Linked DNA regions of Arabidopsis thaliana. The protein of the gene in region 2 binds, or shares a complex with, the protein of the main gene of each other region. Each region holds a gene or a part of one and is shown on either strand. Other genes may lie near its edges.

What was found. The genes of interacting proteins can lie anywhere in the genome.
Region 1: RPL21C (region 2) and RPL4 share a complex: the UniProt entries of both Arabidopsis thaliana proteins name them as parts of the 50S ribosomal subunit.
Region 3: RPL21C (region 2) and AT5G65220 share a complex: the UniProt entries of both Arabidopsis thaliana proteins name them as parts of the 50S ribosomal subunit.

Annotation. Positions count from the first base shown.
Region 1 is NC_003070.9:2,245,844-2,251,467, forward strand, and holds RPL4 (ribosomal protein L4), read left to right. Parts: upstream 1-3,123; 5' UTR 3,124-3,346; coding exon 3,347-4,178; coding exon of another isoform or gene 4,179-4,183; exon of another isoform or gene 4,184-4,329; coding exon 4,330-4,346; 3' UTR 4,347-4,686; downstream 4,687-5,624. Other genes in the region: AT1G07300 (josephin protein-like protein), read right to left, coding at 71-450, 973-1,162; AT1G07310 (Calcium-dependent lipid-binding (CaLB domain) family protein), read right to left, coding at 1,932-2,990; AT1G07330 (dentin sialophosphoprotein), read left to right, coding at 5,288-5,624. UniProt on the Arabidopsis thaliana protein: This protein binds directly and specifically to 23S rRNA. May play a role in plastid transcriptional regulation.
Region 2 is NC_003070.9:13,206,039-13,211,837, reverse strand, and holds RPL21C (Ribosomal protein L21), read right to left. Parts: upstream 3,156-5,799; 5' UTR 3,062-3,155; coding exon 2,747-3,061; intron 2,437-2,746; coding exon 2,356-2,436; intron 2,123-2,355; coding exon 2,021-2,122; intron 1,913-2,020; coding exon 1,838-1,912; intron 1,682-1,837; coding exon 1,592-1,681; 3' UTR 1,410-1,591; downstream 1-1,409. Other genes in the region: CDPK2 (calcium-dependent protein kinase 2), read right to left, coding at 3,780-3,920, 4,006-4,230, 4,314-4,481, 4,553-4,668, 4,767-4,919, 5,009-5,152. UniProt on the Arabidopsis thaliana protein: This protein binds to 23S ribosomal RNA in the presence of protein L20.
Region 3 is NC_003076.8:26,058,039-26,063,620, forward strand, and holds AT5G65220 (Ribosomal L29 family protein), read left to right. Parts: upstream 1-3,126; 5' UTR 3,127-3,262; coding exon 3,263-3,601; intron 3,602-4,285; coding exon 4,286-4,468; 3' UTR 4,469-4,644; downstream 4,645-5,582. Other genes in the region: TGA1 (bZIP transcription factor family protein), read left to right, coding at 993-1,163, 1,276-1,356, 1,441-1,500, 1,585-1,662, 1,751-1,814, 1,897-2,168, 2,257-2,484, 2,559-2,711; AT5G65225 (uncharacterized protein), read left to right, coding at 4,892-4,896.

The DNA of each region.
Region 1 (5,624 bases), about 11 Mb from region 2:
ACGAATAAGTAAAATAGACAATACGCGAGCGAGCGAGCGACCGAGACAAAAGGTTTGGGAATGATAACACTTAAGAAGTAGAGTTTGATCTGGTGAAGGAGGATGATGAGTTGATGAACTGTATGCAGTCTTCTATGGCCTCTGATCGATGACTGTCATTGTTTATTGGGATGATTGGTGGCTGAGACCTCCCAGAAAAAGAAGAAACCTTCGACGGTGGAGATCTTTTCTTCTTCCTCATCACCACCAGACGCAAACCTTTTGCAAATTTGCATCCAAGATGCTTGATCAATTTTGCTGCTGTCACTTCTGTTTTCCTCGGTAACCTTAATCCGCAGCTTGTTGTGCATCCCGGACTCTTACCATAAGGTCCCTTGATAGCTGTTTGCTTAGCCGAAGCATCTCTCTGAACCGGTCTAGTGTTGAGGTTGGACCGTTTTATACCAGTAGCTGACATATCAAGAGAAAGATAGAGAGAGTGAGAGAAGTTTATGGGAAACAATATGAGGATAATGAGAGATATTTAACGGACTGGTGCTGAGAACAGTTGTGCTGATAGTTCAGGCAAATACGGGAAAAGACATGAAATGATTAATGATGTATATTATCTATAACATCATTACGCTTAGGCCATGATTAAGCACTCAAGACATAAACAAATAAACAACTAACAAAAAAGTGTAACTTCAATCTTATTTTAGACCCTATATATAAAAAGACTTGTAGTTAAAGTGGATCTACAAATTTATAAAGAGAACTATGCCCAAGAGCAAAAAGAGAAGACTAGGTTTAGTTTTTTCTATTTTTCTTTACGGTCCACAGAGGGAATAAACCCTTTGTTTAAGTGAAGAAAAAGGTTAAGCAACCATTTGGTATCATTCTTCTTTGATGATCACTCATGTGTGCACATAAGTTACATAACAATCTAAAAAAGTTTCTTTTTGACTCCAGGAGAGGCCAATATAATCTTACCTTTATGGATGCAGATTCCTTTCATGAGTCTGCGGCTACAATAAAAAGGAGGGATCAAGGAAAGAACAAAAAAACAAGTTAATGGTGGGTACAAGAATATGAGAAAGCATATAATAAACCAGGGAGTGTCAGGACATAAATAGAAGATCACACAATCTGGAGAATAGAGTGATTTTACATGTGAAAACATTCCATTGAGAACAGAACAATAATACCTGCATGATTGTCAGTGATTAGATGCAAATAGCATGAGATTGACTGATATGTATAGCAGGTTACCAAAATGCCAAAAGGGAAAAGAATGCAATAGCAAAACTGCTCTGTCTCATCGTTATAACAAGAGCACAATAGACTTAGCACCAACCGTGTACATACCATTTTACCCAAAACGATCAGAGAGAACATCTTTTCTGCACTGTGATGAGCATGATTCAAGACACATTAATCCAAACGCTCAATGAATATGGAGATCACTGGTTCCAAACGAAAATCACACATTGGTATCATCAAACATGAAATAAGAACCAAAGTCTTTAACCAGCCTGCAAAAATATTCGGCAGAATCGCAGGATATAGGACTGTTCATGTCTGAGACAGAGCATACTACCATACCTAATCAGAGCATGGTTCAAACAATAAATCAACAGTAAAGTGATTCACATTAGAACATTAACCCTAAGAACCCAATAGCTTGATTCAAGAAACTGAATGAAGGAAAGAAATGAGAGATGTTTTAGAAACATGTACAAAGGTACAGAAGGGGTAACACCGAATATCAGCTAGAAAGAAGCAACAAATCAATTCACAAACGAGACATACATATAGACATAACATATACTTCACCAAATTCATATTTTGTCATCAGCCATTTCCTGGTGTTCTAACACCAACAAATCTGATGATAAGTAAAGCCTTAGAAACGCCGCACACTTGTGAAATTCAACAACTTTTTGCCATCCTCAACATTCACGGCGATAATCACGGCCATAGCTGTAGTTTGGCCTAGCTCCGAAATCACTCTCAGACCTCTCTGCAGCAGCTCTCTCTTCCTCTAAGCTCAATCCACCCATCGTCTTCTGCAACTGCCTGTGATCATAAGGAGAGTAATCGACTGGTGCCGATGGACCATTAGGCACTCCGTAGCTAGACAATCGCGAGCCCATAGGTGGAGCTTGTGGCTTGTACTCGGTAACCAGAAAGGCATCAACGGGTGCTGAGGGCCCACTAGGCGGTGGACCGTAGTTAGAAAACCGAGGAGGAGCTAAAGGAGGCTGCTTGTGATCAATCGATGAGAAGGCATCAACGGGAGCAGATGGGCCACTTGGGAGGCCGTAATTGGAGGCACGATCGTACATTGAACGTGGTGGAGGAGGCGGATAATAATACCCGGAATAGTAGTGATCAGTGAATGCGTAAGGAGACGGAGACGGTGACTGTGAGAATTCTCTGTAGTCACGCTGAGGAGATGGAGCGGTGATCGGTGCTTGAGGAGGAGGAGGAGGAGGAGGGCTAGGGGAGTAATAATGGTTTCCTTGAGGGGCAGAATAGTAATCTAGTGGTTGAGATTGAGGACGTGGCGGAGGATGCTGCGGTGGAGGGATTGGTCTGTCTTTGATCGCGAGCTTCAAACGAATCTTCCCCTGTGGTCGACCCGATGGACGAACCAGCTCGAGCGAGTTGATCAATTCCGGAATCATTGACCCGTCCGAGTCAATCAAACGAGCTAGAGGAAACCTAACCGATCCGACGAGGGTTTTCGCCAGATCCGAAGAATTGGAATGAAAAACCTCGATGTTGAGGACCGATTCGTGGACAGATCGGGTGAGAGGAAGAGTAATCCGCTCGTTCCACACCGGTTTGATGGAGGAGGAATCATCGGAGCGGGTGGAGAGAGGGTGGTCTTGGTCAAGATACAGAACAACGTAGGGTTTCAGGTCACCGTTACGCCAGTTGACATTCTTCAGGTGCTTGGCAGAGACGACGGTGACAACCAGGTCGAGTGGCTCCGACGAAGTCATGAATACGGTGCGTTTCAAGACGAGACGGTGGCTTACGCGGTGGTCTTAGCTAACGTGCGCTCGTATCTCAAATATCTGTATCAAAGTCTCAGCTATCATCAACTATCATCGTTTTATCACAGAGTTTTATGTCTCAAAAAACCTGCTGGCTATATAAGAGGCTTTTGACTTTTGGAGTTTGACTCTTTCTTACTAGCGACAGCTGGAGTTATTCATGAACAGGATAGTTATATCCTTATGTCCAAACAGATGCATAAATTCTCACCAAGCACAAGATAGGCATTTGAAGAGTGGATAACACTTTCTCAGTCTTTCTTCTTCTTCTTCGTTGTGATAGGTCAGGTCAGGGAACAACAATGGCTTCTTCTGCAACAGCACCAAATTCGCTATCTTTCTTCTCATCTTCTCTCTTTTTATCCTCCTCTCACCAAATCCCTAAAACCTACATTTCCGTTTCAAAACTCGGCTCCGGCAGAGTCTCGAAGCCGCTTTCTGTCTCTTCCCAGCTAGCGACTCTACCGATTCTATCATTCGAAGGAGAGAAGGTCGGAGAGACGTATCTAGACCTCAAAGCGGCGCCGGAGGATACCGCGCGTGCCGTTGTGCACCGAGCCATCGTGACGGACCTGAATAACAAGCGGCGAGGTACTGCTTCCACACTGACTCGCGGTGAAGTTCGTGGTGGTGGAATTAAACCTTACTCACAGAAGAAAACTGGCCACGCGAGGCGTGGATCTCAGAGAACACCGTTACGTCCCGGTGGAGGTGTGGTGTTTGGGCCAAGACCTAAGGATTGGTCAATTAAAATCAATAGGAAGGAGAAGAAGCTAGCGATATCTACGGCGTTATCGAGTGCGGCATCTGCGGAAGGTGGTGCGATAGTGGTGGAGGAATTTGGGGAGAAGTTTGAGAAGCCCAAGACTAAAGATTTCTTAGCTGCGATGCAAAGGTGGGGATTGGATCCCAAGGAGAAAGCTATGTTCTTGATGATTGATGTGGATGAGAATGTGGCGAAATCGAGTAGGAACATTGGAACCTTGAGGATGTTGACGCCTAGGACACTGAATCTGTTTGATATTTTGAACGCTGATAAGCTTGTTCTGACTCCTGCGGCTGTGGAGTTCTTGAATGCGAGGTACGGTGTTGATGCGGTGGAGGAAGAAGATGACGATGAAGATGAGACGGAAGGTTAGTGTTTTCTTGAAAGGAACTGGCTTGTTGTCGAAATTTGATGTTTTGAATGTTGTGTTTGATCGTTTTTGTCTGGTTTTAATTTCTTGAAGAGGTAGAAATATGATGTGTTAATATGGAAAAGTAATTATTTGTTTGTGTTATGAAGGGTCAGAGGAAGCTTAAGAATGAGTAGCACCCGTAGTTCCAATTGCTTCAAGTGTGGCTTAATTATGAGTTTAATCTTGAGTACATCTTCTCACTCTCCTTGATGAGGTCTTCTCTTTCCTTTTTGTGTCACAACAAGAGAAATGTGTATTTACTTTTAGAGTTTTTCTTAAGAGATCATCCTCAATTTCTTGTCATACTGATTTTGTGTCCAACTCTCAATGAAGGAGTAAGGAGTGAAATTAGATATCATGAGTAACGTTGATTGTGTGTGTATCAGTTAAGATTGAGCAACAAAGATTGACTTTAGTCATCAAGTTAACAAGAAAGAGTGGCTATTATAAGCTTTAAGCGTTGATGTTCATCTTGGTTTTGAAAATCATGAATAGTCTCACACAAATCTGTTAACAACTTGCTAAAAAAAAGGATTAGCTAGAAAACTTAGGAAGTGTCAATAGTGTATGTTATTTACAGACATTTGATGGGTCTTGGTGGGCTTAAGAAGATAGCCCAATCTTTTGAAGAAAGAGATATGAGATGCAAAATCCATGAACTTTAAGGGTCAATTTCTGAACCAGTAAAAAATGTGGTTAAAAGTGTAAGAAAACAAGAATCTTTGGAAACATGTGTAAGAAAGCAACTAATTTAACTCCCGCCCTCTCTTACCAGTTTTCTATTTTGTCTTCTCCGTCCTTACCGTGTGTTCTGAAAACTGAAAAAGAACCAAAACGAAAATCTAAAAAAACCCTTGAAAAATCTATTTTTTATTGACTGGTTATTGTTTCAAATGAAAGCTTGACCTCTCTCTTATTGATCAATTTTCGCTTCTTCAATTAAACCATATTTGTTTTTCCCTTTCAAGCATTTTGATTCTCTAGGACAAAACACAAACCGCCATAGACAGAATGCTTTGGGTTATTATCTCTCAAAGTGTTCTGAGAATTTGAACTGTTTAAAACATGGGAATCGATGCCAAAGATGTCGGAACTCTGTTCTGGAAAATTCTCAGATTTTCCACGAACATCGTTTATAGAAACGTAAGGAATCACCCAGTTGTTTCTGGTGTTTCTGCAATTATCTTCCTCCTATACATTTTTCTTCCACGCCTTTTTTATTTCGTCCTTTACTCTTCTCCGTTAATCGCATGCTCTGTGTTTTATCTTCGGAATCATCCAAGTTTTAAGCTTTTGCATATCAAAACGGATAATTGGTTTTCACCATTTTCCCAAAAGAGATCTGAGGAGGAAGAAACAAGGAAGGCTGACTTAAAGCACCAACGAAGTGTTCGACGAAACG
Region 2 (5,799 bases):
TTTAGATTCTATAAAATTTTTGTAATATTAATAATATTTGAAATCTAGAAAAAAATTTTTTTTGTATGATAAAAACCATTTGAAATTAAATTACTTTTTTAATTTAATATCATCTATATTAGTTAAGAACGCACGTAATAACGCACCATAAAAAAACATGTATATATTAGTTAAGAAAACTATTTTAAGCCAAATACGTTCATTTTAACAAAAAAAAATATTATATAACAAACACGTAATAACGCACCATAAAAATACACTCCCGATATAATGTGCTTATAATAAACAGATTTTCTTAATTAAACAAGATTAAACCAAACAAATACAAATATAATATCAAAAATAAATAGATATAAAAAGTAAGATGATAAATTCAAAATATAACTTGATTATTTAAATATAGATGATATAGAATTAAAAAAATAATATAATTTCTAACGTAAATAATCAACCCGTGGTATACCGCGGGTCAATATCTAGTTAGTAATAGATAAATTTAGCATTTAGTTGCTTTTAAAGAAATTTAAATAAATTTCTGTAAAAATTAATTAAAAATAGTAGCCAGCATGGAAATTTTTTCATATTTTCATTTGCCAACTGGCTGATAAAAAAGGTTCTGTTAATAAAATTAAGCTGTTTATTTATTTTACTATTTAATAATCATTTCTCAGATTTTAAACCTAGTCTATATAATAACATTATTTTGAAGACTAATATTATATTTAAAAGGACAAGAAAAATATCGAAAATATTATGAAATCTCTGAAATTTAAGTTAGAAAGTAAACTGGAATCTCATAAACTAAATGAATATATATTTTACTCTATTTTAAAGCATATATTTTTAATAGTCAAGTAGTCATTATTTAGTTATTTATAAATTATCTTAACCTATATATTTTTGGTAAAGGGTTTTGTTGCACCAAACTTAAAAAAAAAAAGGTTTGCAAAACTAGTAAACCAAACTCGGACCTAATCAACCACAAGAGTAAGAAAGCAAAAAATTACAACCCAACATGTATATAGCCTTCACATGTTGTGCCACTGAAGTGAAAAGTTACAACCCAACATGTATACAACCAAACTAATAATCGGAGACAATCTATCTTTTGCATATATATAATAAAAAAAACTCATTTCTCAATTCCTCATCAGAAAATCACCATAATACATCTCACACTATTGGTGCACATAATGTCTTTTACTAGAAAATCGCAACAACATATCAAAATTTTGTCAAAAACATATCAAAAAACACCATAATGTCTTTCATGTGTTTGTGCCTTTGCGGACGGAAAAATGTTATGGACGGTCCCGTCCATTTTCAAAATCTCAATATCAATTTCTGTATTTCTGTATTGTGTCCACTGAAGTGGTAGAAGTTGTTTTATTCTATAAAATTCATTAGTATGCGTAGATTGATGGATGAGCTATATTGAAGTTTTCATACACTAACTTAGAATTTGTGATCAAAGAATGGCAAAAGGTACATATTAATAAAAGGAATCTCAGCAGAAATGAAATGACCAGGGTCCTTACAAAATTACATAGAGAAGATCAGAAAAATTTTAACATTCAAGAAACATTTTGTGTCAAAGATTTACTTCTCCAACTGCAACATTGGGCGAGGCTGGATACTCTTCATACCCTGTGATTCCGGTAATCCTAATCCTCGTATTCGGCTACAATATCAACACATAAGTCACAACATAAGTGTCATTACTTCAAAGAGATTTCAGTTTCATCAGCCATAGCAAATTACAACAAGTAACTGATAGTAGTCTGTTGATTGTAACATTACATAGTTCAAATATAAGGAAGAGGACTTTCAGCAATACCTGTCTGTGACCGATATTTCTACGGTACTTCTTCTTAGGCTTGTACTTGAAGACTACCACTTTATCATTCAAACCCTACAACAACAAATGACATTCCGGTTATTCCAAGTTTAGAGGCGACTACATAGTCGAAAATACAAAACCACCAATCAGAAATTTAAGAAATCGTTTGTATTGACTTACTTGACTTTCCACAACAGCATGTACAGTGGCATTGGTCACAACCGGCTTGCCAATGTAAGTGTGTGTCTTTGTTCCAACAAGCAACACTTTGTTGAGAACAATCTGCACAAGAGAAAAAACAAAATATGAAAACTTCAGGAATCACCAAAAATGCAACAGAGAACAGCTTAACACAATGTTAACATAGGCAAAAGAATAGAACTTCTACACAAGCCACAAAGTTTACTCAATCTTCCATAGTTACATCATCTTTTCACAGATATACCATTTCGTACACAGAGTTTTTTACAAAGAAGAACACATCACATAGTCATTGAAAGCAAATGTGCATATACCTGGTCATCAACATTTGCATCTTTTAGCCTCTGAGTGTAGAGATATCTCCCTGGAAACACTATGTATTGGCGTCCACCAACCTATTCAAACCAAAGAGAACAACACTAAGCTAAATCAGAGATTGCAAATGAGAGAAACAAAATCAATTATAACAAAGCCAAACTCTAAACCTTGAAGAGTATATGCCACAAAAACACAATCTCTCCCTTAAGAAGTCAACATTCGTTAAACCTAAACCCTAAATCTTAAGAGTAGATACCACAAAAACACAGTCTCTCATTATCAAAACTCTAAAATCAAATTCATCAATCAACCAAACCTAATTCCGAATTCCAAAAGCTAAACACCGAAATTGAGAATTTGTTGTTTCGTATGATTCAACAAGCTCACCATAATAACAGCGAAAATCTCTTCTCGTTTAGCTTTTTCCTCAGTAACCTCCGAAACATCGGAAACCACCACAGCTTCGATATCGGTAGTCTCCGGTTCAGCTTCGACGACTGATTCCGCGAATTTCGGAGCGACGGTGAATGCGGTTCGAGACGTCGACGCAGTGGAAGGAGAAAGAAATCCAGTCAGAGGTTTAGCCAAATTAAGCGAAGGTTTAGAGAGAGAACAGAGGATAGTGCTAGAACGGCGAGAATTGACATTGCAATGAGCAGAGAAAGTAGAGCAGAGAGAGAGCGTCGCTGAAGAAGACGCCATTGTTTTCGACTGAGAGAGAGCTCTAAGCTCGAGACTTTGGAGCTCGACGGAGAATAAATCCGCAGTGTTATCCTATCCACTTCCTTTGAAAATTACCATTGTACCCCTGTCTTCAAATTGGTTTAATTTCTAAGCTTGCAATTTCGGTTTACCGGTTTATTTCGGTTCAGATTTTGGGTTTTCCAATTAAGTAATATATTATATACACATCAATTTTGGTTTTGTTCGATTTTTGACAAAAATTATAATTCTAACTACTCTTAATCTCTTTATAGTGTTTAGTGTATTTAAATGTACTTTATATTTAATTAGTTATATTAATTCTGAATATTGGTTAATTACAAATTCACCAAATTTGGTTTCAATTTGAGATTTGGTCTGGGTTGTTATAAGAATTTAGATTTGGTTTGGGTTGTTATAAGAATTTTCTACAGTTTCACAGTTTGTATTATAACAAAATTACTTATGAAATCCGATTTTGGTTCGGTTCGGTTTCTTTTCGCCATCCCTAAATCACATTTCTTTGGAATTCAAAAACTTTTATATGAAGCAAAAATTATCCATATGAGGATAAAAATTTAGAAAGTTGCTCATGTACAAAAATAAAAAGGAAAGCAAAAAACAAGCCAGAATATATTTTTGTATCCTTAGAAATTAGAATTCAAAATATAAACGAAATTAAAGAGAAAAAAAACAGAAATTGTGGAAGAATGATGAGTCAGTCATCAGATTTTTCACCATCAACTCCAAAAGCATCAGCAATGTTGAAGTTCAAGTTCTTCATCATGGTTCTGCTTCTCCCAACTCCATCTCCTTTCCTCATCATTGCTGTAAACTCCGAGAAATCGATCTTCCCGTCCTACATAATTCAAAAGCTCTCGGTTATAGTAAAGTAACATTGAAGAAGGAGGTAAACAAAGAGAAGAAGAAGAAGAGTGGTTTACATTGTCAAGATCAATCTCCTTGATCATGTCGTCCAGAGGTGTATCACATAGACCAAACTCTGTGCAAGCTGACTGAAGCTCATCGATGGTGATATAACCGCTTCCGTCTTTGTCAAAGTACGAAAATGCAGCCACCAGATTCTCCTCTCTCTCCATCTTGTTCATGTGTAAGGTTGCTGCTAGGAATTCTCCGTAGTCTATTGTACCACTGTTGTCGATATCAGCCTGTGACCACAACACACAGAGGATGTTAAACGGAAACAAAAGTTTTTGAAAAGAGGAAAGAGTTTGTTTTGGTTCTTTCATACCGCATCCATGAGAGACTTGATTTCTGATTCCATCAGTTCAGATCCGACTCTCTTCAAACCCGCTTTGAGCTCTTCAAAAGTAATCGTTCCGCTGTTGTCTGTGTCTATCATCTTGAACAATTCCTTCAGACCTCCAATTTCTTCCTCTGAAAGTCTCTCAGCAATTACCTGTGTTCAGAGAAATCAGCATACGGATTGGACATAAAGAAAAAGCGAATGTATATTACTCGAATTCATACCCGTAATGCCATTTTCTTAATCTTATTCATTTGAGAAAACTGCTTTAGACGAGATAAGACTGCTGGATCAAGAGGCTTGTCTGGTGCTGCTTGTTCATCGACAATCCATGGGTGACCTATATAACATTCAGAGCAAACTCAATACTCATTATTTACCATAAAAACAATTCACAACAGTTGCTAATTCCAAATGAACAACAAAGAATGAACATACACAAGGCTTCATGAGCAGAAATGCGTTTCTTGGGGCTCCTTTCGAGCATTTTATAGATCAAATCTTTAGCAGCTTCTGAGATAGTAGGCCACGGGTCAGATTTGAAATCTAACTTCCCTTGCAATATCTGTCTAAAGATTCCAGACTCAGTCTCTGCAATGCCCAAGAGAAAAGAATACATCATTCAAACAAAAACTCGAAACTTGTAAATAGAAAAGACTCTACTTTTTTAGTAGACTAACCTGCCCAGAAGGGAGGAACACCGCTGAGTAAAATGTAGAGGATAACACCAGCACTCCACACATCTATTTCAGGTCCATAACATTTCTTTAGCACCTCTGGTGCAACATAGTACGGACTTCCAACTACGTCATATAAATATTGTCCTGAAGAAGCAAACAAAAACCAATTAGCCGATAAACTGGCATTAATGAGAAGGTTCAAGCCAGACACACAAATGCAGAATAATTTCGATCTACACATTAAGTTTCAGAGACTCCTCAATGACGAACATCTATACACATTAATTTCGATCAATACAATGTTCCCTCTAAGAAGGTAACAAATTTGAATCCAACCAAACAGATCATCAAACCTATACATACCGAAAACCTTATTTCGATTTGCAATCCATATAAAACACAACAAACCTGTTTCTATCAAGAAACCACTTTGTTTCAATTTTCGATTCATAGAAAACACAAATAACCTGATTCTACAAGAAACCAAACCAAAGACTTAATCAAATGCAGAATAGTTCCAATCCACACATTCAAAGACTCCTCAATGAGTAACAACTAACCAAAGCAAGCTCCCTAACTACACCTTATAGACATTGTCCTGAAGAGTAAACTAAAACCAATTAGGCGATGAACCACCAACAATAAGGTTTCAAAGAATCACAGATACAAGCCAAAATACACAAATGCAGAATCATTCCAATCAACACATAAACTTTCAAAGACTCAATGAAGATACAAAGCAAAATTCCCTTAAGCAACGAAAAAATCATCATCAAACCAAAACACCAATT
Region 3 (5,582 bases), on a different chromosome or scaffold from region 2:
AGATAACATCACAAGGTTTGATTGACTTTGCTCTGTTCTAATCTAATCTTGTTAATATCTTAAAAGCCTAAAACTTTTCTCTTATTGATTGTTTTGGTTAATTTTGTTTCCCCTTTTTTTTGTTGTATTTACTCGATTGATTACTTCAATATGATTTTCTGGTTTGCTTGGAATTTAAGCTGGAAGGAACTGATTCGAATATTTCTTGCATAAGAAGATGTTTCAATCTACCTATCTATTGACTTCATGATTGGCTTTTGCTTTTATTGTTGATATCTCTTACTATCTTGATTTCACCTTTCGTTACCATTTGCGTACAAAAATTTAACAAAGCAATGAATGGGAATTTCTTATTTTTTGTATAGTCGTTTTAACTGCTAAACTATGTTAAGTTGGTCCACACAATTAGGTGCTGAAAATAAAGTGACATCCTAATAAGTGGAAACTTGACTTATGGAGCTTTTCGTCTGCTTAACATTAATTTTTATCATCTTATCTATTTGACACCTTCCAAACACTATTGGGGAAATGGCTTCTTCTCTTTTTTCCGGTGTAGGTTTAAGGTTTTAGATTTGAAGGCGGATGGTGAGGAGTTTGTGTTGATGAAATGGGTGATTTGAAGTTAAATCCTTTAAGTTCTTTTAGCCTTAAGTTCTTTTAGCCTGTCATTACAATATATGTTTCAGTTGTGATCTTTTGGTGCTCTCCAAGGTCTTAGGGAATCTCCGTGTCCCCTCTGGTTTCTTTCTTTGTATAAAGTCTCTGGAATTTAAAGATGATTTTGTCCTGTTTTCTTCGAAGAATTTGGCGAAGAAACATCAAAAGTTCACTATTTGCTTTACGTGTTATGCTTGTTTGACTTTGTGTGATCTAACTTTTGGTTGAAAACTAATGCTCATCTTTTGTTCTTTGGAATGTCTTGATCTGCTTGATTTTGAATGCTTTGTCACATTGTTTAAACAATTTGTTCTTTGTTTTCAGTTGAGGAAAACATGAATTCGACATCGACACATTTTGTGCCACCGAGAAGAGTTGGTATATACGAACCTGTCCATCAATTCGGTATGTGGGGGGAGAGTTTCAAAAGCAATATTAGCAATGGGACTATGAACACACCAAACCACATAATAATACCGAATAATCAGAAACTAGACAACAACGTGGTACTTTTTTACTTCATTGCTCTTCAACCTCCTGATGATAAATTTGTTTGGTCTGTTTTCAGAAATTTAAACTAGCTTTCATTTCTTGACAATCTTTTTTTTTTTTTTATAGTCAGAGGATACTTCCCATGGAACAGCAGGAACTCCTCACATGTTCGATCAAGAAGCTTCAACGTCTAGACATCCCGATAAGGTTAGCTATTCAAATACTTCTCTATCAGTTTCTTAATCATAAATTTCTACGCATCATATAGACTAAATCGTTATATCGTTACAGATACAAAGACGGCTTGCTCAAAACCGCGAGGCTGCTAGGAAAAGTCGCTTGCGCAAGAAGGTATGACTTCATTTTCTTCCCCTTGGTAAACTGTTTCTGTTTGCCTAATGAGTTGAGAGATTTGATTGTTTTTTTTTTTTGCAGGCTTATGTTCAGCAACTGGAAACAAGCAGGTTGAAGCTAATTCAATTAGAGCAAGAACTCGATCGTGCTAGACAACAGGTTAATGAAATGAAATCTAAATATATATTCGCTTTCTTTCGAGTTCCAAAATATAATGCAATTTCTGATTGAATATGAATGTTTTCAGGGATTCTATGTAGGAAACGGAATAGATACTAATTCTCTCGGTTTTTCGGAAACCATGAATCCAGGTTTTGAATCAAGAACAATGAGTCTTTTGGAAAAAATATAGAATTCAAGATTTTGATTGGTGGAAGCTTATTTGATTTGCAGGGATTGCTGCATTTGAAATGGAATATGGACATTGGGTTGAAGAACAGAACAGACAGATATGTGAACTAAGAACAGTTTTACACGGACACATTAACGATATCGAGCTTCGTTCGCTAGTCGAAAACGCCATGAAACATTACTTTGAGCTTTTCCGGATGAAATCGTCTGCTGCCAAAGCCGATGTCTTCTTCGTCATGTCAGGGATGTGGAGAACTTCAGCAGAACGATTCTTCTTATGGATTGGCGGATTTCGACCCTCCGATCTTCTCAAGGTATAAAACAAATAACAATCTAGCGTAATGTTTAATGAATAGAAGGAAACAAGCAAGATTACAATGTTTCAAATGTTTTTTTTTGTAGGTTCTTTTGCCACATTTTGATGTCTTGACGGATCAACAACTTCTAGATGTATGCAATCTAAAACAATCGTGTCAGCAAGCAGAAGACGCGTTGACTCAAGGTATGGAGAAGCTGCAACACACCCTTGCGGACTGCGTTGCAGCGGGACAACTCGGTGAAGGAAGTTACATTCCTCAGGTGAATTCTGCTATGGATAGATTAGAAGCTTTGGTCAGTTTCGTAAATCAGGTAAAATATATATATTCAAACTCATTTGAAAATACTATAGTATCAGTTTCTTGATTTTGTTTGTTCATTCTTAGGCTGATCACTTGAGACATGAAACATTGCAACAAATGTATCGGATATTGACAACGCGACAAGCGGCTCGAGGATTATTAGCTCTTGGTGAGTATTTTCAACGGCTTAGAGCCTTGAGCTCAAGTTGGGCAACTCGACATCGTGAACCAACGTAGGTTTGAGTTATTTTGTAACAACCAAATGAAGAAAATGGAAAGACCTCAAAAAATGAAGAATGAGTGCATCTGAAAACAGAGGACTACTCTGAATAAATAGAGGGGTTGCTGCTGATATTTATTTTTACTCTGCGGCGGAATTAGAAAATTTGAAAAACATCATGTATTGATAAGTTGTAAATATCAGAAAAAGGTGGGGGTGCAAAAATTTGTACTTTTTAGCTTTTGAAAGAGGCAAGTTTTTCGAATGTTTGTTTGATTTGTAAACAATTTCAGAATTATATAAACTTGGTTCCAAATCCCCTGTAATAATGTCGAGCTATCTGCAATTTGAAAACTATAGGGGCTTTACTTAATTTTACGTTTTGTGTGACACCTATTTGATTTTTTTTGATACGTTTGGACCAGTTTCGTAATTAGAGGTAAATAAAGGGGCAAATAGTAAGATATAAGAAAAGCCTTATCTCATAGAGTTTCTTCTCTTCATTATCCTCAAAATCGCTCGAGAGTGAGAACTCTGCTCTTCTTCTTCTTCCTCCGCCATAGCTACAATGCTTAGTCTCTCAATCGCTACGCCGGGGACGGCGGCGATTTTTCGTAGAGGAACTGCTTCGGCGACTTCAACTTCGTCTTCATTCCATGGTGTCAGAATCCAGCACCAGGTTTCTGCTCGCGTCCCCGCGGCGGCGACGATATCGTCGTCGTCTCCTAAACCGTCGGTGGTGATGATGTCGAAAAGAGAGGCGGAATTGAAAGAGATAAGATCGAAGACGACGGAGCAGTTACAAGAGGAGGTTGTTGACCTTAAAGGTGAGCTCTTTATGCTTCGTCTCCAGAAATCGGCAAGGAATGAGTTCAAATCTAGCGACTTTCGTCGTATGAAGAAACAAGTAAGCTTTTTTCTTACTCTTTAATGCAGAATTATTCCAAATTGTGAAATCTACTTTGTGTTATCTGGTCGATTTTGGCAGTCTTTGAAAGGGTTTAACAAAATTGGGATATGTGGTTTATTGATGGAAACATTGAAATCATCACCATGGAAAATAGGATTATTTAATATGAAGTTGTAGAAGATGTTAGCGAACTCTATAAGCAATGTTTTGTGTTGTTTGTTCTACACATTATAGTTGATTCTAAACTCTAACAATGGCAACATTGTAAGTTACTGTTTTGTGATATCTAATACTGTTTTTGGTAGGTGGTGGAATGGAATTAGAGATTTAATATTGAGTTCAATCCATCCCCTTTTATAGATTCTTGCACACAAGCTTCGAATATGTTCTTAGGATACTACGGTTTCAGTTAGACATGAATGTTGAGCTTTGCGATATCGTTTGTTTAGTCTTTTAAGTGTGCCAATGCACCAAACTAGCTTTAGATGAGAATTTACTTGCTTTGGTTTTACTGATTGCTGGGATTTCAATCAGACATGAATCTTGAGCTCTAAGTGACTAATCCACCCAACTTAGCTGGAGATGACACTAAATTCAAGTAGAGATTTCTTGGTTTTTTTGGCTTACGTCCGTCTCTTTTCTGGTACTGAAGATGTGATCTTTTGGTTGTGGGTGATTTAGGTTGCTCGGATGTTGACGGTTAAAAGAGAGAGGGAGATCAAAGAAGGGATAAAGAAAAGGTTGTCGAGGAAACTTGACAGACAATGGAAGAAAAGCATAGTACCAAGACCACCTCCGTCTCTGAAGAAACTTCAAGAAGAAGAAGCTGCAGAAGAAGCAGCTGAAGCTGCTAAATCTGCTTGAAAAAACCCGCTATTGATTTATGGTCTCTTCCTTGTTGTTTCCTCGAGATGTTGTTAATCTCTGTTATTTGTTGCTGAACCATCTTGTATTTGTTTTTCTTTTGGTGTAAACACTTTCCTTATCAAGTAGTTTACATGAATCCCTTAAAGATTGAAATCGTTCCTTCATGTTTCATCAGAATTATCATCCAATCTGACAAAGAAACTAGTAATCATTCGAAGTTCGAAAAACATCAAATAAGAATAAAGATAAATAAATAAAAGGAAAAATCCAAAACATTGGCGGGAAAATTAGGAATTTATTGAGGAATCAATGGTGGGCTTAGAAATAGAATGGTGCGTTAAAGTTTCTGTCTTTGTGTGCGTAGATGAGGTATTCGGTGGTAGATTCCGGCTGGGTTTGGATTTTTTTTCCGGCGAGTCTATGAGGTAAAGTGATATTTCTTACAGATTTTAAGGATTCAACTAATACGATTATGTTTCCGATGATGTTTCTTGTTTGGGCATGAAACCCTAGATTTCAGCGATTCACTTTCAAAATAAAATCCGTTTATGCAATCGAATGTAGTAGAAAAATCTCATCTTGGTAAATCTCATTGAGACTTCATTGTTAGTTTTTTTTGTTAGTCAACCAACAATGGGTTTGGTTTTTGTTTTACTATTTTTGTCCTTTTCTTATTAGTATATTGAAGATCTGGCCAATAATTTTTCTGACTCAGTGGTGTTGAAATCTTCTTTCAGAAGTGGGGACTAGTGATAAAATAATCTCAAATTAGTAGTTTCTTCTCTTTGTTTTTTCTTTTCTTAAAAGTTTGAATACGACTGATATAAACATAGTTCAATAAGAAGTCATGTTTCGTTTACTAGTAGTTTGCTATCGAGGCTGCTATATATGAGTTCTTGACAGGTATGTAGTCATTTCTGGAAGCCAACAAACCTGTGAGATACTGAGATGGTTGTTAATTTAATGTTTTTGATTTGAGATCGATGCTCTTGTTAACTAGCAGTAGTAGATTTTCACATGTTGATTTCTCATTACCATTGTAGTTGGATAACAAAACTGTTGATATAGCAATGATCGGACCACGATGATTCACCTAATACCTTATATTACA